4 linked regions of the Caenorhabditis elegans genome follow. The protein of the gene in region 2 interacts with the protein of the main gene of each other region in a pairwise test. Each region holds a gene or a part of one and is shown on either strand. Other genes may lie near its edges. The genes, in order: bcf-1, rps-15, F56B3.2 and Y57A10A.24.

The links.
Region 1: the proteins of rps-15 (region 2) and bcf-1 interact in a two-hybrid assay, tested with the Caenorhabditis elegans proteins (one large-scale study listed by BioGRID).
Region 3: the proteins of rps-15 (region 2) and F56B3.2 interact in a two-hybrid assay, tested with the Caenorhabditis elegans proteins (one large-scale study listed by BioGRID).
Region 4: the proteins of rps-15 (region 2) and Y57A10A.24 interact in a two-hybrid assay, tested with the Caenorhabditis elegans proteins (one large-scale study listed by BioGRID).

What each region holds. Positions count from the first base shown.
Region 1 is NC_003283.11:6,402,762-6,410,492, forward strand, and holds the start of bcf-1 (bacterial colonization factor), read right to left. Parts: upstream 6,023-7,731; coding exon 5,897-6,022; intron 5,845-5,896; coding exon 5,621-5,844; intron 4,831-5,620; coding exon 1-4,830.
Region 2 is NC_003279.8:8,815,049-8,817,915, forward strand, and holds rps-15 (Small ribosomal subunit protein uS19), read right to left. Parts: upstream 1,146-2,867; 5' UTR 1,138-1,145; coding exon 1,031-1,137; intron 956-1,030; coding exon 733-955; intron 678-732; coding exon 552-677; 3' UTR 524-551; downstream 1-523. Other genes in the region: F36A2.9 (Lipase_GDSL domain-containing protein), read left to right, coding at 1,933-2,201, 2,560-2,664, 2,709-2,867. UniProt on the Caenorhabditis elegans protein: Negatively regulates lifespan.
Region 3 is NC_003282.8:763,531-770,390, forward strand, and holds F56B3.2 (EB domain-containing protein), read right to left. Parts: upstream 5,055-6,860; 5' UTR 4,878-5,054; coding exon 4,790-4,877; intron 4,503-4,789; coding exon 4,421-4,502; intron 4,354-4,420; coding exon 4,292-4,353; intron 3,383-4,291; coding exon 3,156-3,382; intron 3,100-3,155; coding exon 2,940-3,099; intron 2,266-2,939; coding exon 2,143-2,265; intron 2,098-2,142; coding exon 1,805-2,097; intron 1,314-1,804; coding exon 1,157-1,313; intron 755-1,156; coding exon 648-754; 3' UTR 531-647; downstream 1-530. Other genes in the region: col-103 (Nematode cuticle collagen N-terminal domain-containing protein), read right to left, coding at 1-134.
Region 4 is NC_003280.10:12,241,251-12,248,133, reverse strand, and holds Y57A10A.24 (EB domain-containing protein), read right to left. Parts: upstream 5,189-6,883; 5' UTR 5,140-5,188; coding exon 4,877-5,139; intron 4,169-4,876; coding exon 4,049-4,168; intron 3,945-4,048; coding exon 3,759-3,944; intron 3,194-3,758; coding exon 3,059-3,193; intron 2,859-3,058; coding exon 2,652-2,858; intron 1,993-2,651; coding exon 1,883-1,992; intron 1,823-1,882; coding exon 1,708-1,822; intron 1,219-1,707; coding exon 874-1,218; intron 681-873; coding exon 599-680; 3' UTR 505-598; downstream 1-504. Other genes in the region: txdc-12.1 (Thioredoxin domain-containing protein), read right to left, coding at 6,162-6,514.

The sequences.
Region 1 (7,731 bases), on a different chromosome or scaffold from region 2:
GCAACACAGTGATAAGTAGTGACATTGAAACCTCCGACGATTCCAGTCAATGAAGCGCATTGTCCGGAACAATAGGTCTCAGCTCCGAGGCTCAACGAATTGTAGGTAGATTGTAGACCAACGTAGCACTTGAGTGGGTTAGGAGTACGTGGTGGAGAAACAGTTGGGTCGAGGCAAGCATCGGTAGAACAGCAGCATCCGGAAAGTCCATTCTCAATGGTAGTACAATTGTTGTTCATTCCAAGTTGATAGCATGTGCTGACTGGATCGCAAGTGTAAATTGTAGCGTTGGTGAGAGCTCCATTGTACATGGTTGAGAGAGTAGCAGAAGCGCATTCTCCCTTACATGCTTGCCAACCAGCGATGGAAATTGGCATGTTATTGACGTAAAGACCAGAGAAGCAAGCGATTGGATAATCACGGAAGTTCGTAACTGGCATTGAAGTATTGATCTTTCCACCATATCCAGCCAAATCGACGTTGCAGTTGTTGTAGTTGTCGCAGCAGCATCCCGTAACTGTGGTATCATATGGAAGTGGTTTGCACTCGTCGTACATCTCGAGTTGTCTGCAGAATTGGGTTGGCACGCATCCGAAGATAGCAACTGGGTCTTGGTTGAGGGTAGCTTGAATTGAGGCGCACTTTCCTGGGCAGAAGATTTCAGATCCAGTGGCCTTTCCTTGAGCGTAGATTCCAGCGAAGCACTTGCGGAATCCAGATGGTACAGTCTTGTTCTTTGGTGGATCAAGGCAGAGATCAGTGTTACAGCAGCATCCGGAGACTCCTGGGATTGGGGAGGCACACCAGTTGTTCATGTTGAGAGATTGGCAAACAGTGCTTGGGTCGCATCCGTAAAGAGTTGCTGTGGTGGCAACTCCGTTGAGTGTAGTGTTCAATGAGATGGACGCACATTGTCCCTGGCAAGCTCCGAGAATGACTGGAGTAGATGGAACACCGTTGACATAAAGTCCAGTGTAGCAAGCAATAGCATAGTCGACTGAAGTTGGTGGTGGTGGTGGAGTGATGGTGGTATTGGCAATGTTACAGTTGTTGGCATTGTTACAGCAGCATCCAGTGACTTGGTTGTCATTCCAAACTGGTTTGCAGTTGTCGTAGAGTTCAAGGGAGTTACAGATCGAGTTTGGCATGCAGTGATAGGTGTTGACTTGGAATCCACCGACAACTCCTGAGAGGGATGAGCATTGTCCGTTACATGGAATTTGAGCTCCAACGTTAACTGCGCTTCCATTAACAATGTAGTTCGAGCTGATACCAGCATAGCACATAAGTTGGTTTCCTGGGTTACGAGCTGGATAGACTGTTGGATCAATACAGGCATTGGTGTTACAGCAGCATCCGGTAATTCCGTTCTCAAGACTGGAGCACTTGTTCAGAATGTTCAAATTACGGCAAACGCGGGATGGATCGCAGGTGTAAAGAGCAGCGGTTCCGGCTTGTCCATTGAATTGAGATGTGATTGATACTGAGACACACTCTCCTTGGCAAACCTGCCATCCAGCTGAGCTGTAAGCGGTTCCGTTGATGAAAAGTCCGGAGTAGCAAGATATTGGAGCATCATTGAGTGGAGTGAGTGGGATGGTGGTGTTGATCACATTGGCAAGATGGGTCTGTTGAACGTTGCAGTTATCAGCATTGTCACAGCAGCAAGCTCGGAATTCTGGGTAGTATGGCTCCATGCGGGCGCAGGAATCGTAGAGCTCGAGGGAACGGCATAGAGAGTGTGGAACACAAGCGAAGAGGGTCACGTTGTCATTGGCAATGCGAGCGCTAACAGAAGCGCACTTTCCGTCGCAGAGTTGTTCAGCTCCGGTTTGAAGTGATGGCACGCTGGTAGAGTAAAGTCCAACGTAGCACTTGAGTGGTGGAGTTGGAACGGTCTTTCCTCTGTTCGGGTCGAGGCAAGCATCACTGTCGCAGCAGCAAGCGGTTACTCCAGCTTCTGGGGAAGTACAGTTGTTATGAACTTTAAGTTGGTAGCAGACAGACGATGGATCACAAGTGTAGAAGGAAGCCGTGTGCAAAGTTCCGTTGATCGTAGCATTGATGCTGACAGAGGCACATTCACCGAAGCAAACGGAGAATTCCATTGGAGTTTGGTTGAATCCGTCAACGATAAGACCAGCTGGGCAGGTGATTGGATATTCAACACGTGGACGTCTTCTTCCGGGATTGTTGATTGGAGGTCTTGGAACAACTTGATTCAAGTTGCAGTTAGGTCCATTGGTACAACAACATCCAGTGATATCTCTATCATACCAGAGTGTGCGGCAGCTGTCATAGACGTACAAGCTGTTACAGACGTATGCTGGGACACAAGCGTAAACAGTGACGTTAGCGTTGGCAAGTGTTGAAGTAACAGATGCGCAGTTTCCTTCGCAGTATTGTTCTCCTCCGGCATTGAAGATGGTATTTCCCTTCAAATCATAGGAGTAAGCTCCGACGTAACAGAGGTTTCCATCTCCATATGGTTTACGTGGTGGGGTGGATGTTGGATCGAGGCAAGCATCGCTGTCACAGCAGCAAGTCTCGAATCCTTGTTCTTGTTGGTGGCATCTGTTTGTTGAGTTCATCATTCTGCAGATGTAAGATGGGTCACACGTGTAAAGAGAAGCAGTGGTAGCAACTCCGTTGTATGTGGTGTTCAAGTTGACAGCAACACAATCTCCCTTGCAAGCAGTCCATCCTCCGTCAGAGATTTGGCTTCCTCCAATGAAAATTCCAGAATAGCAAGCGCGTGGCATCTCATTTGGTGCAAGTGGTGGAATGGTGACGTTGAATCCAGACGTAGCAACGTTGCAGTTGTCGAAGACATCACAGCAGTACGCGTTGACGAATCTGTCCAAGTAGAAAGTGTTGTTCGAGTTGTCAAGTCCAAGGGAACGGCACATAGATCTTGGAGCGCAATGGAAGGCGGTGACATAGTCGGATCCGACAACAGCGGAAACGGTGGCACAATATCCGTCGCAAAGAACTTCAGCTCCTGCGATGTTTCCCTTGTGCTGGGTGCTGATACCGACGTAGCATTTGAGAGCTTTTCCTGGAACACGGTTGTAGGTTGGATCAATACACTCATTGGAGTCACAGCAGCAAGCAGTGAGAGAGTTGTCAATGGTGGAGCAGTTGTTACGAAGTCCCATCGCGGCACAGGCACTGCTTGGATCGCAGGTGTAGAGAGTAGCGTAGTGAGAGTTGTTATTGACGGTTCCTCCAAGGGAAACAGACACACATTCTCCGTCGCACATGCGGTAGTAAGGCTGGCTGATGTTTTGTCCGTTGAGATGGATTCCTTCGTAGCAGACAATTCTTGGGTCACGACGAGCTGGGATGGCAGTGACGTTGACTCCAGCTGGGGCAAGACAGTTGTCAGTTTCTGAGCAGCAGCATCCAGTGACTTGTGGGTCAGCTCCTGGGATTTGTCCACAGTTTCCGTAAGATCCTCCGAATCCGAGTCCGAAGTAGCGGCACATTCCAACTGGGGCGCAGTAGTAGACAGTTGCGTTCTTTCCGTTGACAACAGAGTTCAAGGATCCGCACCATCCATCACAGAATTGGTCTCCTCCAGTGTTGTATTTGTCTTGTGGAATAGAAACTCCAGAATAGCAACGAAGTTGTGGGCGTTGAGATCCTCTGTTTGGATCAATGCAAAGATCATTGTCGCAACAGCAAGCATTGACTCCTCCAAGAACGCTTCCGCAAGAGTTGGAGATTCCGGCTTGTTGGCACATTGTGACTGGATCGCAAGTGTAGATGGTAGCATTGTGAACTTGGTTGGCGAAGGTGGTGGTGAAGCTAGCTGAAGCACACTCTCCTTGGCAGAGTCCGTAAGCAGAGTTGGTGATGGAAACTCCGTTAACCCAGATTCCTCCGTAGCAGAGAACTGGATACTTGGCGGTAGACACAGCAGAGTTATTCACACGTCCGAGAATGTATGGATTGTTAACGTTGCAGTTGTTGCTAGCAGAGCAGCAGTACACCTCAAGTTCCTCGTCTTGTGGTGGATTGTAGGTTTGTCCTTCAGTGGAAGCAAGTCCGAATCCAGCGCAGACATCGTATGGCATGCAAGTGAAGTATGAAACTTGTTGTCCGTTGGCATTGAACCTGACACGTCCACATCGTCCTTGGCAGTTCATTTCAGCTCCGAGCCAGGTTGTTCCATTGTAAAGTCCGACAGCGCATCTGAGCTGCTTGACTGGGTAGACTGGTGGAACAACAGTTGGGTCAATACATTTGTCCATGCTGTTGCAGGCACAGCCGGTGATGAGAGCGGTTGGGACTCCATTGATGTTTTGGGTGTCAAGGTTCATGCATCCGTTGTCGAGGTTCAAAGCAGTGAAGACGTTGACTGGGTCACAAACGAAGATCTCTCCCCATACATTGGCTCCATTGTAAGTGGTACGAATACGAGCAGATCCGCATTCTCCCAAGCATTGAGAGAAAGATCCTCCGTACAAGAGAGCTCCGTTGACGGAAATTCCTTGATAGCATGTCTGGTTGTTCTTGTTCCATGGAGATGGAGTTGGTGGGTTGTTCATTGGAGCGAGGCTAGTACAATCTTGCTTGTAACAGCAGCATCCTTGAATGTTGGTTCCAGCGAGATTGGTGCAGGCGATTGGATTATTTGGGTCAATATTTGGGAAGATGCTGTCGCAAAGTCCTTGTGGCATGCAAGCGTAGGCAGCAGCGTCATATCCGTTGTAGACTCCAGAAACACTGGTACATACATTTCCTGGGGAGCAAGTGACGGTGTCTCCTGATCCGAATCCTGGAGTAGTGTTGTTGGCATAGAATCCGACGTAGCAGAGGATGTTGCTGCAATTAATACATTCAATTTATCTTCACTTATCTTCTTTGATCTTCCTTCAGGGAAGTTTTTTGGTAATTGGTAAAAATGTACTATCAATCTCTTATCACACAATTGGTTAAAATATTTCCGAATTTCAATGCCGAGGAGCTAACTAGCCACGTTTTATGGTTGTGTTGCGTGCGTTATTGGCACAGTCAGATAAGAAGCGCGCCCAAATGTAAACCAATTATTCCATTATTGTTATCAGTTTGACGTTGACTGGCAAATTTACACACGTAACAGTTTGTGGTCAGGAATTGAACTAGGACAAAGTATAGTAAAAGAAAGTACAGTGAAAAAGTTCAATTTTAGACTATATCGCTGAAAAGTCATACTAAAAAAATAATATTATATAGTAAGAAGTTAGTGCGATTTCCGGAAGGAGTTTAAAAAATTTAAGGCTACACATATTTTTGATCTAAAAACGATGGATTTCATATAAACGTTAAACATTTGAATCGTACAAACTTGAAAATGTTTTAAAATTTGGAAAAAAATTGCTCAAAACCAATCGCTAAAGTTAAAAACAAATCTACGGGAGAAATTTCGACGTGTGTTTTTAGTTTCTCTAATATTCAAAATTTCGAAATATTAAAAAAAGTTTCAATTGGTCAAAAAATTAATCTGATTTTGCATCAGTTTTTCTCTTTCGCAGCTGTTATCAAAAATAGTCGTTTATCAAAAGTTACTATCAGAGACTTATGCAAACCTCAATTCCTATCAGTTGTCAAAAATAACAGTGATAACAAAACTCACTTTGGGGCATTAATAACTTCGATTGGCTTTGGAATATTTTCTTCCAAGTCGACCTTGTTACACAACTCATCCTCGCAGAAGCATGATGTCTCAAGCTCACTGCTGGAGCAATCCTGTCCTTTGTTAATGAAAGCCATAAGCTTGTTCTCTTCGCATGTCAAGAGAACAAGTCCTCCGCTTGGAGATTTGACAGTTTGTTTTCTGCACAATCCTTCGCATTCTCTCTGAAACAGTTAAAGTAAATATATAGAATGTATGTATATTAGATGGACGTACCAATTCAACAGACTTTGATGTAATAACATTTTCCGATACAATTAGATTTCCGACTAAGCAGTTTTGTTTAGCACTAGCGAAACTACAACAGCCGGCAAGTGCCAGCAGGAAAATGCCCAAGCGCATCTGAAATTTGAATGTGTTAGTGAATAGTAAGATCCTTAAAAAACACAGTAAAGCAAGGAAGGCTCTCAGAAATAAAATTTGAGAAAAAAATCAGTAGGGCTTCTTCGAGTAGAGAGAAGAAGTGAAGTGCGACCTGGCGAGATGTAAATTAAATAGAATGAGGCTCTTATAATGAACAGTCAAAATTGGTTCTTGGTCGCCAATCGGTCCTTGTTATACGGTAGTTGCCCTCTCTTGATAAGAGCACGAAGTGGGTGGAGTCTCAGAACCTTGGAGGCGAAACCTGTGAAGCAGGATACGAAATTAGTGATTTCTGCTGCAAGAGAAACAATGAGAAAAAGAAAATGAGCTTCAAAAAAGTAGTTGGAGCAGGAATTTTGGGTGTATGTGAAGCGTTGGCAAACCCAAATACTTAGTCATCCGATTTATAGCTGTAATCTAGTTTCAGCTATCTAACTGTCAATTCGTCATTTGGTTAACCAAATAAAATTTTTACTTTACTGTGGTTTGCATTATTTTTTATCAAAATCACGCTAGTTGTGAAATATTGAAAAATGGAACGAAGATAAGCCTGAAAATGAGTCACTAGCGGATTTCATTCTGGCGGTTTGGAGTGTAGTTTTTTGAGAAAAAAAAATAGATTCGGAGATGACTTATAATCTAAACTCAACATTTTAAATTGCAATATTACACATTTGAATATCCACCAACATTAATTATATCCTGCTGAAAACTCCGCGGTAAACTACACTACTCATTTTTGAATTTACTTTTTGCCTCATTTCACTCGTCTGGTTGTTATCGAAACTGATCATAAAACATGGCAGTTTGAAAACCAAATCAAAGAAATTCCAATATGTATCAATAAATCAAAATTCAGTCCTGGAATAGTCATTTTAATTAAAAACCTATAAACCTTATAATTTGAAATTTTTTTAACTGTTCAGATACTCCTTCGTAGATATTTTATATCATATCTGACACCTTTATGCTCTGGGAAAACATACACCTCAGAACTCTTTAGAAAGTTATATTAAACACACTCATATAAAAATAGAGTAAGGGTTTCAAGACCATGTCTGAGTCGAATGATAATTGAATTAAAATTTCAAGCACAAATTTGTCAAATGTACAAAACACACCTTTTGGAGCACTTTTACTTGGGCTGTCTAATAAGTATTTTTAAAAAGATGGTGCCAATATAACCAAACGCAGCAAGGAGCAAGTTTTAAATAACATAACTTTTGAAATCAAGGAAAAAAAATGTGATTTTCATATTCTATGTATTTGTGTGTGTGTGTCTTTTGTCTTTTTTTTTCTATCATATTTTTATATAAATTGTAAAAAAATTTGAATATGAAATTATTTTGGGAAACTTTTAAAGTTCTTACTAGTGAACCGTCAGAAGGTACCCATTGGACTTGCATATGAGATCTACGCCATTCGATAGCCCATGTCTTAAAACGGTTACTCGTGAATTTTTAGCTGCAAAACTCCAGAACCAAGCTCACGGCGGGCTCTCAATGATCCTAAAATAGCACTTTAACGAAGCATTGGAGGGCCAATTTTCCAAATTCACTTTGGTAGATCATATCTCCGCGGATAATTTTTTTACAGAAAAGTCATCAACTGATAAGTTGTTGATATTGTTGTAAAGAACAAGTTTGTAGTTGAAAGTTTTTTCCCAAAAATTTTTTGTTTCAGATAGA
Region 2 (2,867 bases):
ACCAATTATAACAAACACGAAATCAAGTGGGAGACAGCGAAGTATGTGACGAGGAAACTTATTGCCACCAAGTCGAACATTTTTGATACCTTTCGGAGAAATAAGAACAAAATCTATCCATTTTTTCACTTAATGTTGATGAGAAAAAATGAGAAGCCGTTTTCTAAAATTATGGCCTTTTATTGCAATTCTGTGTTCGGACTATTCTGTTCATTAAAAGCAGCGTATTGCTGTGTAGAAGAATGGTAATCACGGTATTCAGATTGGTCGATGACATCCAGGGCCAGCAAGTTCTCGATATTCGTTTACTTTTATTAGGAATACAAAAGAAATTCAAAAAATTTGGGTGGTTATTTTTGTGATAGTGCGGGCTTCCGTAAAGGCATTCGCATCCAATATTCAACTGACCCTTTCAACTCGCGCGGACATTTCGACACATTCTAATATAAAATCATCACGTTTCTTCGAATTGATGTTATTCAACCGTGTATAAAAGACAGCAACATAATTTGATCAACTTTAGAAACAAGTTTATTGTTCAACAAATAACTTTACTTGAGTGGGATGAATCGGGAAGAGTGGGTAGCTCCAATACCTGGTCTTCCGTGCTTGACAGGCTTGTAGGAGATAGCGAACTCTCCGAGATAGAATCCGATCATCTCTGGCTTGATTTCGGTCTGTAACAAAATAATAATAATCATAATGTTTTCGCATTTATTGTAATCGACTCACCTGGTTGAAAACCTTTCCGTTGTAGATTCCGATGACTCCACCAACGAGCTCTGGAAGGATGATCATGTCTCGGAGATGGGTCTTAACGGTGGCTGGCTTCTCGAGAACACCAGCAGCCTTCTTGGCCTTTTGGACCTTAGCGATGAGAGCCAAGTGCTTTCTCTTGAGTCCGCGATCGAGACGTCTGCGCATGCGGCAGGGGAGAAGCTTGGTGAATTGTTCACTGGAAATAAATAATTGTTCTTGGAGATGACCAAAAACCAGACATTGCCGGCAAAATATTGTTTTAAAAAATTACCGGGACATGTCCAAAAGTTGGTCCAAGTCAACTCCTCTGTACATGAACTTGCGGAAAGTTCTCTTCTTCTTCAGCTCAGCGAGATGGGCATCATCTTGAGTAGCCATGTTTAACCCTGAAAAATCGATTACTTTTTTTGTTGCAATATATGGATATTGAAAAGAAAGTAAATAAACATATGGAAGAGAAGTGAAGAAAACTCGTCATGAATTATCAAAAAGAGCACTGACTTACATATCGTAAAATTTAATTAAATAAAATCTGAATTAATGCAACTTCCATTTTATACATTTTTACGATAATTTTTCCATTAGTTTCACATATTTCTCTACAGTAGGAAAAGAAAAATTAGTATTTCTATATTAAAAACAGGTATTAACACCAAAAAACCAGAAAAACCGTGAAAAAAATCGCGAAAAACGGAAAATTTTGTAAAAATTCTACTGACAACCGAAGCTCCGTATCGTTCATCATTGTTGAGTCGCTACTCAGCGCAGGTTGGCTGTTCGCCAGAATTCGGTGGAGCGCGGTTGCAATTCTTATATTTTTATCAATTTTTCGGGCCTGATAAACGGAAATTGGTGAAAAAAAAAGTTTTGGAGCTTCGTAATTTAATTTAAATAATGTTATTCTCAAAATAAAAAATGTATTCAACTGCTGAATACAAATTATTTTCATAAAATGAAGTTTCGACCAGAATTTATTCGACAATAATTAGTTATTTGAAATTCTTGTCGATTTAATTTTGTTTTTTAAGCATTGTTTTCAATTTCGAACTGCAAATAAAGCATAATAGAGTTTGGAGATCTATATTCTCTCCTTTTGACGATTCTACCTTTTAAATATCTTCTTCTTTAGCCTTATCGCAAGCACTATTTTGTCTTCACTTTAATTTTTTCAGAATGCGATTAAACCTACTTCTACTACTTCTATTTTATTTTGCACATGGATCTGTGGTTCCCAATGTAGACCAGAAAATTCTACGCGGGGAGTTCCATGACGAGGGAAAGTTTATGGTGGATTATGAGGATAATTCGCAAAATTTGACCGATTATGCGAGCCGAAGAAGCAGTGATGACGATAAAATAACTCCAGAAGAACAAAAAAGGCGTGGAAATGACAGTACAGAAGTTTCAGAAGATGATGATTCAAGTGATATAAGTGAAGAAAGGTGTGACCATTTAATTTAAAATCATTTTTTCTCACCGGCTTCTTGCGATTTACAAAATTTGGACAGTTCAGACTTATAAAAATGTGGGGAAAATCAGCCGATTATGACAAATTTTTCGACACTGCTACGTCATCACACGAAGATGAAGAAGGGTTTTCAATTTTTGAAATTAGAATGCTAAAACCGCATGGTCTGCTTCTCCCAATTTCAAACTATCCTATTTATTTTTGTTGAGTTACTTAATTTTTTAATCTTCTTTTCCATATTAGTTTCTTCCAATTAAACGCTTTTTGAATGAGGTCGAGTGATGGTCTTCCTGGAACTCTATGAAAAATGACAAAAACAATTATTATTTCAGAGAAAGAGACAGTGTGGATCATCAACATCTCAAATCTCTGACCGCCATCAAACCTGAAAAACATCAACCAGTGGCTGGTGTAATCAACTCTGCATTCAATGACAGGTTTATTTTTACTAATATATTGATAAAAATGAAGCTTTTTTCAGAAAGACATTCTCCTGTCCTCGTATCAAAACTGAACTTTTGACTGGAACGAATGTTGGAAACATATCTCCTGAAGATATAACAATCATTGCTGCAATGGGAGATGCTCTCGCAACTGGAATTGGATTATGGCCAAATGCGGATATCGAGTTTCGAGGTGC
Region 3 (6,860 bases), on a different chromosome or scaffold from region 2:
TCCATATCGACCATAACCTCATCATAGAGAGAGTTGACGTCATTGAAGACCTGGGCGGCAAAGAAAAGACAAGCAAGAATAGTCACACCGGACAGCACTGCTGCCCCGGTGGCAAATTTGATTGAAGCGGACATTGCTGTACCGACTGACGAATTCCGTCGCTCGAGTTCCTTTTATACTGAATTCTTACTAGGCATTTGAAAACGGTTTCAAGGACAGTTCTCTCTCCGTTTTCCAATTTTTCCGTTTTCCTGACCGAAAAACAGTCCGAAAACCGAAATTAACCGTCTGCGTCTCGTTACAGAATTCTCAATTTTTCCGTTACGTTTTTTCCCGAACGTCCTTGTCCTCTTCTTCGCCCAACCAAAACATCTTCCATTTCTCTGATTCTCTCACTCACTCACAGTCTCTCTCTAGATAGTTTTGTCTTAACGGTTCTACCGGGTTGACTTGATTTTGTTGACTAGATAGATGGCATAGGGCATAACTTTTTCGAAGGAAAAGAGATAGAAATGGGCAGCTAATTTGATGTTTGAGTTTTTTGGGGAAAAAATCTTCATTTTGAAAAATTTTATAATTAAAAAATTAAAAAACAATTCAATACCTCGTAGTAAAAAATAAAGACAATGAGATTGCGGGAAGAGAAATTATCCAAAATTGAGTCCGCCACCTCCATTTCCAGCTCCGAGGAATTGTCCGAAAAGTTTGAACAGGTCGTTTCCAGGATTGATGGGCACTCCGGGGATTATGGCGGCTGGAAAAATTGGAATTTTTAAACGTTTCAAAAATCTCATATGTGGTCAGATTTTTTGGAAGAAATTCAACTCTGAAAAAAACCTCAAACTATTCGTAAGTTTCACAATATTTGCCTCAAAAACATAGCACCCGGTCTTTCAATAACTGCAAAAGGGTATGTACCTTTAAGGATTTTTCATTTAACAGAAATTTATCGCGGCGAGACCGGGTACCGTCTTTTTGAGGCAGAAGTCGTGGAATTTCAATTTTCGGTAATTACAAACATCATAAAATCGTTTATTTTTCAGTCGAAACTTTTCAGAAAAATTTATTCTCAATTCATTTTGTTTTCAGAAAATATGTAGAGTTCTTTAGTTTCATAACTATCTGAACCGCCTGAAGAAAAAACTTAAAAACTCACGTGCTGGTGCTGAAGTCGTCGTTGGTGGGGCTGGAATCTCAACGCATTTTCCATTTTTCGCTGCAAACCCACAACGGCACATGCATCTTCCACGGTAGCATCCCGAATTTTGTGGACATTGCTTTTGAATGAAGCAGAGGGAATTGAGCGGTACAGCCTGAAAAATATATAGCTAAAGCTTGAAAATTATTTGTTGTTTGGCTAGTTCAAAAAGGTAATTTCGAATTTTAATTGAACCTGAAATATATATTTTTTTCATTTTAATTGTGCCGAAGGATAAAAAACACTTATAAATATTTTGTTAACTCACGTGGTTTCAGAATGTCCCATCTCGGTTTTATCTACAAAAAAAGCGGTAATGTAGACGTAGACTTCTCGATTGATTTTGCATGGTTAAGAACGTGCTAACGTCACATTTTTCTGGGGAAAAAATTCGCGCATTTTTTGCAGATCAAACCGCGATGGGACAACCGCATACAACGTGTTAATTGGATATTTTTGAATAGAACAACCGACAACCGAGATATAAGTTGTCAAAGTTGAACAATGAAGGTGCGATACAAAGTCAAAAATTAAGAAAAGTTCCTACAAAATACCGCCTGCCTACCTGCTTACAAACCTACCGCCTATTTGCCCCATCTCCCTTACCTTCATACAACTTGTGTCCTTTGACAAATTCTCACTCTCACAGTCCCTCGAACACGATTGAGATGGATTTTTCAATGGATTCGTGAGCACATCAACTGCTGGGTGGAAATTTTGTTGACATTGACACTGTCCCTTCATGCATTCCATTCCCTCTCCACCACCACATTGAGCATTCGATGTGCACGCTGAGTTGAGTTGCCCACGTGGCATACAGTGATAGTCGACGTAGAGAGCATTTGGAGCCATCGCATTGCATGGACGACGGCAGCAAGCGGCTTGGGAGAAACTTCCGTCTGAATTTGCATTGCAAATAAAATTTTGGATTTTATTGAAATTACCTGACAAAAAGTAACAGTAATGGGAATCAGATGGGCATTTGAGAGCTGGAGCTGCATCTGGATCACAAGAATATCTGGTGTCCGTGGTAGTGTTTAATGGGCAGATCACGGGGCAGCAGTGCCCTGAAAAGTTGTGTTTTTTGTTTTTATTAAAACATTTGAAATTCCGCCGAAAAGTGGGAAAAAAATGGAAAGTTATAAATTCCCTACTATTTTTTTGTTGGAACATTTAGAATTTTAATTTTTCGAAAAAATTTCTCAAAAGTTAATATTTAAAATTCCAGTCAAATTTTTTAGTTAAACAGAAAATAGAATTTCCTGTCAAAACTTATTTAAGATTTAAAGTTTGAATTGGTGCCAAAAATTTTCAAACAATTCAGATTTGAATATCTTGCCAAATAAATTATAAAAGTTTAAAAAATGATTCGGCCAAAAACAGAAGAAAATTGAATTGCATACCTCTTTATTCTTTTAAAAATAATTTCAATTTTTCGCTTAAAATGTAGAAAAATCAAAATTTAAAAAGTTTGAATTGGAATTCTCACCAAAAAATTAAGGCATTTTATTAATTTTATTGCCAAAACTTCTCGAAAAATCTGAATTTCAAACCAGAAATTTGCGAGAAATCTTTTCGAAAAAGCATTTAAGCTCCCACCTAAGTTCAAAAAATAATGAATTCGATTTTCCGCCAAGATAGTTTTTCGGATACATAAAACTTGAATTTTCGCAAAAATTTATTTTTTTCTCAGTGACTACAAACTACAGAGAATACTAATTAAGTACTGTTAAAAACCAACCAACTTGACTCTCCCCAGCAGTAATACAAACTTGACCCATTGGACAATTGTCTTGATTTGAAGGAATGTTAAAGGCGAGTGATGGATCGGATTTTCGAACACAGCTCTGTCCTGGAAGCTTTCCGAATGGACAATTGGCAGCAGCTACGCATCGAGAGCCCTGAAAAATATTTCATTTGAATTCAAATAACTTATTAGAATTTAAATAAATTATACCATTTGAATAGTTCCAGTGATGCAGACGCATTGCGAATTGACACATGCTGAGAATGGAGAAGTACAATCATAATGTCTGGAACAACGATCTCCGACTCGAGAAGTTGTAATGCATTCTCCATTTGACACTCGTGTTGTTCCACGTTGCACACACTGGCATTCACCGTTACGGCAGAAAAGGGGCTCGCGGCATTTGGAGGAGCAACGGGCTCCGATTTTTGCGGGTACTGGAAGAATTGTTTGGTCATGTTTGTAATAAATATTCATTATTTTTCAATCAGTGTAAGGTTTAAAGTGGCCAAAATGATAGAAAACAATCTATACGATTTTTCTAAATATTTTAACAATTTTTTTTCAATTTTTATGTTTGAATTCCCGCGCAAATTAATAATCTAGATTTTATATTTTCGCGCATTCCGGTTGGTTTTCAGGCTTATTTCAGGATTAATAATTCGAAAAAATAACACGAAAAAAAACTTGCTGAGACTCTGAAATTGATATAAAATTTAAAAAAAATCAATTTAAACGTTTCATTAAAGAGGTGGGCGGCAATTGCCATTCGGCACTTTTTTTGTCGGCAAATTTGGCAAATTGCCGATTTGCGGTTTGCCGAATAATCAATTTTGGAACTTTTTAGAGGGATTTTCATAAGACGGAAACATTTGGAACTGTGCCTTTTTGAAATTTTTTGCCGTTTTTTCTAGATATTTTCATAGAATTTGCTTAATTTTCAAAATTGATGTAGAAACACTCATAGAAAGAGTACAATTTTGTCGATTAAAACTGAAATTCTGAAGCTTCCAAAAAAAAATGTGCAAAACCACAATTTGCCGGAAATTTTCGGCAGTTGCCGATTTGCCGGAAATTTCAACTCCGCAATTTGCATTTAAACATGAAAAAATGTCGTAAAAGTTTGACAAATTTAGTTTCAAATCAAAAACCTTTTGAAAAAAGCCCGAAAACTCAAAATTGCCAAAATTTGCTGCTATTTTGTTGTGCCAAATTGAAAAAAAAAATTTTCTTTAATTCAGAAAATTTTCATAATTTTTACATTCATATTTGTTACATTTAGGCAGGCAAAAAAATCAGAGAAAAATTGTTTTTTTTTTCATTATTTTCTCATATCTAAAACTCACGTGGTGCACATTTTGGAAGACGCCCCTTCTCATCTCTAGTTTCCGTGTAGTGAGGGTGGCATCTAAAATAATAAAGTTTATTTTTAATCTTACCTTATCATAAAATGTATTTCAAAACAACTAATTTACCTGCATTTTCCTCTCAAACAAATCGATCCTTTATTCTCACAATCTCCATTTATATCGCAGACTCCGTTGAGAGCGGATTTTCCTGAAAATTAAAGATGTTTGTTTTTTTTTAATTTTAAAACGTTTAATTTCCAACCAAAAAGGGGCTAAATTTGGTTATAGCCTATCAATATTTTGAAAATCTAACAAAATTAATTTTTACGACTTTTCATACTTTAATTGTATTCCAAATGTTTATAATCAAGATTCGAAAAAATTTGGCAATTTACGGAAACTTGGGCTAAAGTTTTTGAATTTTTAAAGAAATCTTAAAATTGTTGGAGTGTAAAACTAAAATTCCTACAGAAAAAATCACAAAAAAAACCTTACCATTACAAGGAGAAAACTGCGCATCTACCAGATAAAACATCAGTAGTATTAAACCAGAAAAATGAATAAAATTTCGAATTGGTAACATATTTTTGGCCTCTTCTACTATGTCTTCACTCGCGAACTTGGGTCTTTGGCGACAATTGGCCTACATTAGAAGGAGAAAGTAGAGAGAAAGGAGAAGCGCAGCAAGGATCCGTATAAGGGGAAAGCGAGAAATATCGATTGAACACTGGAGACGGATGACAGTTTGAGATGATGACATGAATAAAGAGGGAGGATGAGAGAGATATATGTAGATATATTGTAACATACAAGATTTGATGTAATGAGTGAATCATTTAAACAACTAAAATGACGTAATTGTAACAACTGTAACTGTTTGCTTCTTGATCTCAACTGAAACCGCGCCCTTTTTCAGTTTGAAAAATTTCAATGATTTTTGAACAAATAATAAATTCATATTTGGAATTCTTACATCAATATCTGCAAAGTCGTCCCTGTTTTCGGTTCTCTAGATATTTGTCAAAAATAGCGCTCAACTTGACAATGCCCTTTGGATCGGCGTGTTCACTTCAAATCAAGGATGCGCAATAATTTTTTTTGAGAGGGTTAAGATACTTTTGAACTTTTGAGAGATGACTGTGCATCGGCAAGACCGCGCCACTTTTTTTTCTTTTTTTTTGTTCGTTTTTTTTTTGAACACGTGGAATAATAACTCGTTCAGATTAAAATCAAATTTTTCATTTCTTTTTCAGAAAGGATAAAATAAAGTTAAAAATGAAAATTCTTCCACTTTCTCGAAAAAACCAAAAAAAAAAGTTGAAAAAAGGTCAGATTCATCTTGCAAATACAATGCTCCGATCAGTTCCTTTTCTGCATCTGTATATCCAATTTTGCAGCTTTTACCTCAGAATTTGGAGCATTTTTTGAAGCTGAAGCTGCTCCACCAACTGGAATTCCAAAACGGGCGGCACGGGCGGCCAGCTTATCATCTGTGGCAGGCGTTTTTGGAGTGATTCCGAATCTTTCAGCACGTGAAGCCATCGCGTCTTCTGATGTTAGTCGTTTTGAGTCTTCTGGGAGATCAAATCTGGAAAAAATGAGGGTTTTGGAGAGGTGTTAGGGGGAAAATTGGGATTTTTGGGTGGAAAAATGAGCTTTTTTGCACTTTTTTCAGTGAAAATTTTGCATTTTTGGCACTTTTTGAGTTAAAACGTTGAAAATTTAGGTTTTTTACAGTGAAAAATGGGGGGTTTTTGGAGGGTTTAAAGTGAAAATTGGGATTTTTGGCATTTTTTGAGTGAAAAATTAGAATTTTTTGTGTTAGAAAGTTTGAAATTTAGGCTTTTTTAAGTGAAAAAGTTAGATTTTAGGTTGGAAAATTTAGACTTTTGGCATTTTTCTAATGAAATTTCGGAACTTTTGAGTGAAAAATTGAGATTTTTGGCATTTTTTGAGGCAAAAAACCAGAAATTAATGTGTTTTAAAGTGAAAAACGGGGGGAAAATTAGGATTTTTTTTTGACTTTTTTGTATTATAAAGTCAGAAAATGGCTTTTTTTTAATGATAAAATTGGATTTTAGGTTGGGAAATTTGGAATTTAAGGCATTTTTCTAATGAAATTTTCGATTTTTCTGCTGATTTTAAGCGAAAAAATGAGATTTTTCGATTTTTTTTGAGTGAAAATTGGGATTTTTGGGGATTTTTTCAGTGAAAAATCAAGATTTTTAGTACTTTTTCAGTAAAAATTGGGATATTTGGATTTTGTGCATTTTTTACAGTGAAAAATGACAGACTTCAAATTATCGTTCCCGAAATGCTCGACGAGTAAACGCGCTCCATTGAACACTTTTTTCGCGCGCATTCAAATTTAGTTTTTTCATGCCTCCAATATTTTTGTATGGAAAATTGATCGTTTCGCACTGAATTTGTAAATTTTGGAAGAAAATTTTTAACCAAAAATGCTGAAAAAAAAATTAAAATTAAATTCTTGAAAAAAAATAAATTTTTTTCACATTCCAAAAATCACAGATAAGACTACAAAATAACATGAGGGCACTCCTCGGAA
Region 4 (6,883 bases), on a different chromosome or scaffold from region 2:
AAAAATATTCAGGCTTTAGGTTTTTAAGCTTTCAGGCTTGGACCGTTGAGCCCAGACTTGGATGCTAACATTTGAATTTAGATTTTCAGAATTATGGCTTTTGCTTAGGCGTAGGCTTGGGCTTAGGCATAAGCTTGGCGTCAGCTCTGAAAAAACATAGTCTGAAAATGCTCTCATTATCTACACACTCCAATTTTTCAGTGTTAAATAAATAAAAATTTGACTCCTAACTTTTTACATTTTTATAGTTTTATTAAAGAACTTGTTATTGTGAATCGAATGCGTTATGAATTATTGCAAAATCTTTGTTTGGCTTTATAGAGCAGTCTGAAAATGCTCTCATTATCCTAGGCCTAGGCTTAGGCTTAGGCTTAGTCTTAGACTTGGGCATAGGCTTAGGCTTAGGCTTAGGTGTAGTCTTAGGTGTAGGCTTAGGCTTAGGGTTAGGCTTAGGCTTAGGCTTAGTTTTCCAAGTTTTTGTATTAGGCTGTTTTTAAATTAAACTGTTTGAAAACATGTTCATTAGCTAAAAAAATATTTAAAAAATATAGAATTGGCACAAATATTCGAAAAAAAAAACAAAAATCAATAATTAAGCCTAATAGACCACAGGCTTCCGAATACAACATAGATAACTGTCGGTAGTGGAAGATGGTAGACACGTGTAGCCGAGTGGGCAGCTGGAATTATTTTAAAATATCGATTTTTGAACGTTAAACGTTTTCAACAATATATGTATGTTAGAATTTTTTTAATTCCGATTTAAAAAAAAATTTTAAAAAATTGGATAAAGATAATAAGATAATACTGATTTTTAGAGTTTCAAAAAACAATCGAAAAAAATTTTTTATTTTTTATTTTTCTGGAACTCACTCCAACGTAAACAGTGATAGACAACGCTGCACATCTTGATTAACATTTTTCGACGGCATATATGAAAATGGGCATGTCGGCTGCGCAATCACTTCTTCCTCTTCAATCGGCTTCTCAGTAGTTGTAGTAGTTGATGACGTCATAAACGTAAATGGCCCAATCATTGGAATCTGTGGTGGAAGGATTCGGTTCATTTGAATAGTACAACACACATAGACATCATCAATATCAGATTCTTGACACGAATATCCTGATCGAAGAATACACGGATCTCCGATATGATCACAAATGTATGGGAAGCCGTTTTCCATGAGTGGACGGGCTTCAGGGTCTTGGCAGTTTGGACTGTAATAAATATTAAGATATGATTAAGATACCTTTGATGGTTTAAAAGTAAAGTAACGCCAGTGGGGATTGTGTCTAAATACACTTAAAATTATTTCAAATGACCAAATATCATTAACAAACAGTCCAAAAATTTTTAGATTTTTCATTATTCCCGGTCAGTTTTGGAAAATTGCAAACATTTTGAAAAATATGAGCCTTTGAGGAAATCCAAAGCAATTTCGCATGTTCCAACCCCTACAATTTTTTAATACAAATAATTAAAAAAAAATTACAGTATAAAAAATGTAGAAAAAAATTTTTTTTTGGTTGACTTCCAAAATTATGAGTGGCAAAAACTGAGTAATTGTCACTTTTTGATAATAAATAAAAAAATTTCAAAAATTTTTTGAAATTTTTTAAAATGATATTCGATCATTTTGACACCAATGGAGTAGTTTTAAACACTTTCCCCTCTGGCGCTACTTTGCCTTTAATTAAGCAACCTACACAGATTCAAAAGGGTATGGTTCTGCAGTAGTTGTGGCTATGGTTATGGGAGCCTTCATAGTAGTTGTAGTGTAGTAGAATGGAGGGGGTAGAAGGGTTTTACGGCTGTTGCCGACTGAAATTTTTTTTTTTCTTGAATTTTAGTTTTTATAGGTTTAAGCAATAAAATACTCACGTCGATTTTTATACCGCTTACAGCAAATATGGGCGGTCTTCTCCTTGTTCAGCTCACAAAATGCTCCTTGTGAGCACGCCGGAAAAGCTGGGTCACATTTTTCACCGGTTCTGGAATAAGAATCAATACTGGGATTTTTTTGTAATTGAGTCATAAGCATTTCTACAGTAATCTAGACAATCAAGTACATTTGAAATTTTAAAAAAACTCGAGGAAATAAAATTTTTGGAAGTTTTTTTTGCTCTAAATGACATAAAATAGTTTCAATATACCGAATGTAACTGTAGAAAAATTCAATAGAAGCACCTAATAAAAAAATTTCGAATTTGTTAAAATGATTTTTCAATTATTCAACAATTTAAAAAACGGCCGAAATATATGGTTTGCGCGGGAATTCAAATTTAATTCGGCCGTTTCTTAGATTTTTTAAAAATTGACGAAAAATCATTTTAAAAAATTAGAAAATTTATTTAAAAATTTTCCAGATATATTTGGTCATTACGGCTCCATTTTCTGGCATTTGAATAGTTTTTAGTGTTATAAATCAAATATTTTTGCAAAATTGAAAAAAAATCGTTAAAAATTTAGAAAAATTTAGAGAAATTCCATAAATTTTTCTACAGTTATACTCGGTATATTAAGGCTATTTTCTGGATGATAAACACTGAATTAAATTTTTTGATAATTTTTGACAAACGGAAACTGAGCTACAGTACCCCAACAGTACACTATACAGTATACAGTACTACAGTACAATGTAGTAACTTACCCATTCTCCCCATTCCTACAAACCATCTCAATTCTTGAACCGAATGATTCCTCGGATGGACAACACCACATCTCATTCTGAATTTCCATGCACTTTTCATTTCTCAAACATCCGGCTGCGCACACACTTCTCGCAAACACTCCTGACGGGCATTGGGCTAACGAACAACATACACGAAGACCCGTCGGGGTTAGCGAACATTCGTAGCTGGAAATTTGAAATTTGCGGTGCAATTTTAGTTTAGAAGTTCTGAAAATGTTTAAAAATTTTTGTGAAATTTCAACTTTAATTTTCAAAAAATCAAAAAATTGATTCCAAGTTTTAGATGTTTTTCGGAAAGTTTCGAGCAAAAAAAATTAGCTCCTGGCTATTTTAAGAGCATGGCTTGAGCTGTAAAATTCACTTACCCCATCCCACATGGCTTCTTGTTACAGTCCCTCGGCACCAATCCATTCATCAAAATTTGACTTCCAACACCACAAATATCGTCAGAACTTTGACAGCATACCTCTACGTTACTGGTGCGGAATTTTGCGCAAACTCTGAAAATATAGAATTTGAAAAAAAAATTTTCGAATTTAATTTTTTTAAATTAGTTGAAATGTTAAATTTAAAGCATCATACATACAATTTTGCCAATTTTTTTCACAAAATTTTCGGCAAAAAAGCTTTTGTGGTGGGACCCAAAAATTCGAAATATTATTTAACGTTTGATTTAAAAATTTTTTTCATATTATGATATTTTGTTTGAATTCGGGGTACCCCGAAATAAATCTGAATTTTTACTTTTTTTCTATAACAGTTTCCAGGAAAATATCGGTTCTGAAACTTATCGTGGTGGGACCCAAAATGTTCAAATGTTAAAAAAATTTAATTTGTGATACAAACAGTTTTATGCTTTTGTTCAAATTTACAAAATCAAAATCTTCAATATTATGTGAACTTTCTGAAAAATCTAAAAAAATTTGAAATGTTCAAAAATAATTTTTTTGGGCACTAAAAATTTTTCTCCAGTTTTTTGGTGCAAAAATTGTAAATTTCGAGTTTAGGTAACATTTTCGTTTAAAAATAAATTTTTTAATTTTTAAAACGCAGTCCAAAACTAACCCCTGAACACAATCCTTGCACAAAACCAGAGATTTCCCATCATGTGCAATAATTGGATGGGATTTCGGACAGATTTGGGAGGAGTCTAGTGACGTCATCAGTGATGACGTGGATTTTTGCATCGGCTTTTCCTTTGGGAACGGTGCAGATTTGGAGAGTTTTAATTGTGATGTTATCGGGAAACTTCTGTAAAAATATGGATTTATTTTATTTGTAGTTATAGTTTTTATTTTAGAATGGTCTTCTTCTCCCAGAAAACCAAGAAGTGGGCGGAGCTTAAAATCACCAACTTTTCAATGCTCCTGTTTGAGCAGCATATCGACATTCCATCCTGACTACTTGATACACAAAATGATCCATCTGGGCAGTTATTCTTACGTTTTGGAAGACATGGAAAGCCGGTAGACATCCTGAAGTTTGAGTTCAAATATTTTTGGCGCGAAATTCAAAATTTCAGATTTTTAGCAACTTTGGCGCGACTTTCAGTTTTTGAATCTTTAAAATAGTTGGGGCAAGCTTCAAGTTTTAATTTTTTTGATATAATTTTTTTTTTTGATAATTTTGACAGAAATTTTAAAATTTCAATTTTCGCCAAATTTAGATATTTCAAAAATATCAACAAAAATAATTGGCGCCCAATTTAAATATTAAAAGAAATTTCAAAAAATGGTGCTAAATTTAATTTTTTAGAAATTGCAAAAAAAATTTAGCGCCAATTTTAAATATTAAAAAAATTTCAGAACAATTTTTGCGCCAATTTTAAATAATTCAAAAATATCAACAAAAAAAGTTGGCGCCAAATTTAAATATTTAAAAACTTGCAAAACAAATTTGGCGCCAATTTTAAATATTTAAAAAAAATTTTAAAAAGTGGCGCCAGATTTAAATATTTTAAAAATTTTAAAACATTGTGACGTCAAATTAAATTATTTAAAAATTGCAAAACAATTTTGGCGCCAAACTTAAATATTCCAAAAACTTCAAAAAAAATTGGCGCCAATTTTAAATATTTGAAAACATTTAAAAACAATTTGGCGGTAAAATAAAATTATTTGTTTTCAAAAAACAATATATAATCTGCGAAGTTTAACACAAAATTCAAAAAAAAATTTCCTCACCTATAAGCCGGATGCCTGCACTGCGGTGGCGGTACACAACATATACCCCTATGACAAAATGCTCCAAGAGGACATAAGCTTGCACACGTCTTCACGTGCTCCGTATCCGTTAGTGGAAGCTGTCCAACAGGGCAAAGATCCTTCAGATACTGATAAGGAGAAGCTAGGGCTTCAGAATTGGCAGAGGTGATAAGATTTATTAGAAAAATCCAAAGAAATTGGGAATTTAGAACTAAATTTCGAAATTCAAACTGCGAATTCATATTGCTGGTAGAGAAATGACCCGACGATGTATAAGAGGAAAATAATTCGGAACATTGGAGAAGAGACGTGACATATTCTGAATATGAGGATGTTTACATAACTACTCAAATATAGGGAAGGAGAGAAAGTTTCTTAATCCCTTAGGAAACTGGTTTTGATTAATCCTTCCATGTAGGCGCCAAAAGGCCTGGTGTGCCTACCTTGCGGCGACCTTCACCTGCCTCGGGCCTTCTGTATAGTGCGGAACCCGAAAAGTGTCGGCCGCGGCGGAAGGCAGGCGGGCAGACAGGCGTCAGGCCCTGAAACCGCGCCTGCCTCCCATGAAAGCCTTGATTTAGATTTGAACCAATATGTGGGCGGTGTATTTTAAATCTCCTATTTTGTGGCAAAATTCAAATTTTTTTTGAATTTTTTTAAATTAAACAATTATCGAGAGCAAAATTCAAAAATTCATGAAATTATAAATTTTTTCAAACAAAAAAAATTTTGTTCAGATTTAAACTTCAAAAAGCTTTTCAGATTTTCTAAAATCACCGAAAAAAGCCTGAGCCTAAACCAAAGCCTAAGCCTACGTCTAAGCGTAGGCCTGAGCCTAAGCCTGAGACTAAGCCTAAGCCTAGACCTAAGCCTATGCCTAAGTCAATTTCAAATGAATGCAAAATTCAAAAATTTCAAAAAATTAGTTTTTTCAAAAAATTAGTTTTCAAAAGTTTTTTGGCTGGAATTTCAAACTTTCCTGAATTTTTCAAAATGTCACAGATTTTCCTAAAACTTTTTTTTTTTCTAAAAAATTGGCTAAAAATTTTCAGGCACAAAATGCAATTTTCATAAGATTTTTAAAATTTTTTCGAGGTTTCGAAAAGGTTTTTGGCGCGAATTTAAATTTTTCGTAAAAACCGACGTATCGAGAACCAGTTTATTCGTGATAATAATTAATAATAGTTAACAAGATTGGCAAAGAAATGATAAGAAATAAATTAGCTGAAAATCAATCAATAAATCAATAAAACAATCTCTATTCTTACAATTCCTTCTTCTTTCCCTCTGGCTTCTTTGGCTTAAGCTTATCACCTCTCTTAGCCTCTGGAATGTCAACTCCAAAATGTTTAAGCACATCCTTCATAGAGTTAAGGATATCAGCTGGTGATGAGTAGTAATACGCGTAATTTTTGTATTCGGCCTTCTTATTTTTGAATTCTTGAAGAAGATCTCCATTTTTGTCGAGGAAAAGCAGACGTGGAATGTACTTTCCGTCTGGACGGTACTCCTCCTCGAATGGCTCGTCGTCGTCTTCGGTGTTAACCATTACAAAGTGCTCTGAGAGCTTTTTGAAGGCTTTCTTGGCGTTGGATTGTTGGAAGGTCTTCTTGAGAGCTGGAAAATTTGAAAATTCGAAATTGAAACATTTAAAAATTAGGCTTAGACGTAAGCTACAGCTTGGGCTTAGGCTTAGTCGTAGCCTTACACTTAGACTTAGGCTCAAACTTAGGCTTAGGACCCCAATAGATTTTATCCTTTTTTCAGATTAGTGGAATTTGTTTGGAATTTTTATTGAATTTTTGAAAGCTTTAAAATAATTTTTTATATAATTTTTGGAATTTTTAAAAAAATTTTGAGGTTTTTTCTCGCATTGGATTTTCTGGACTTGAAATATTTAAACTTCAAATTTTTTAAAACCAATTTTCAATTTTTTCACAAATTTTTAAACGAATACAATTATGTTTAAAGTTTCAAATGTTGAGT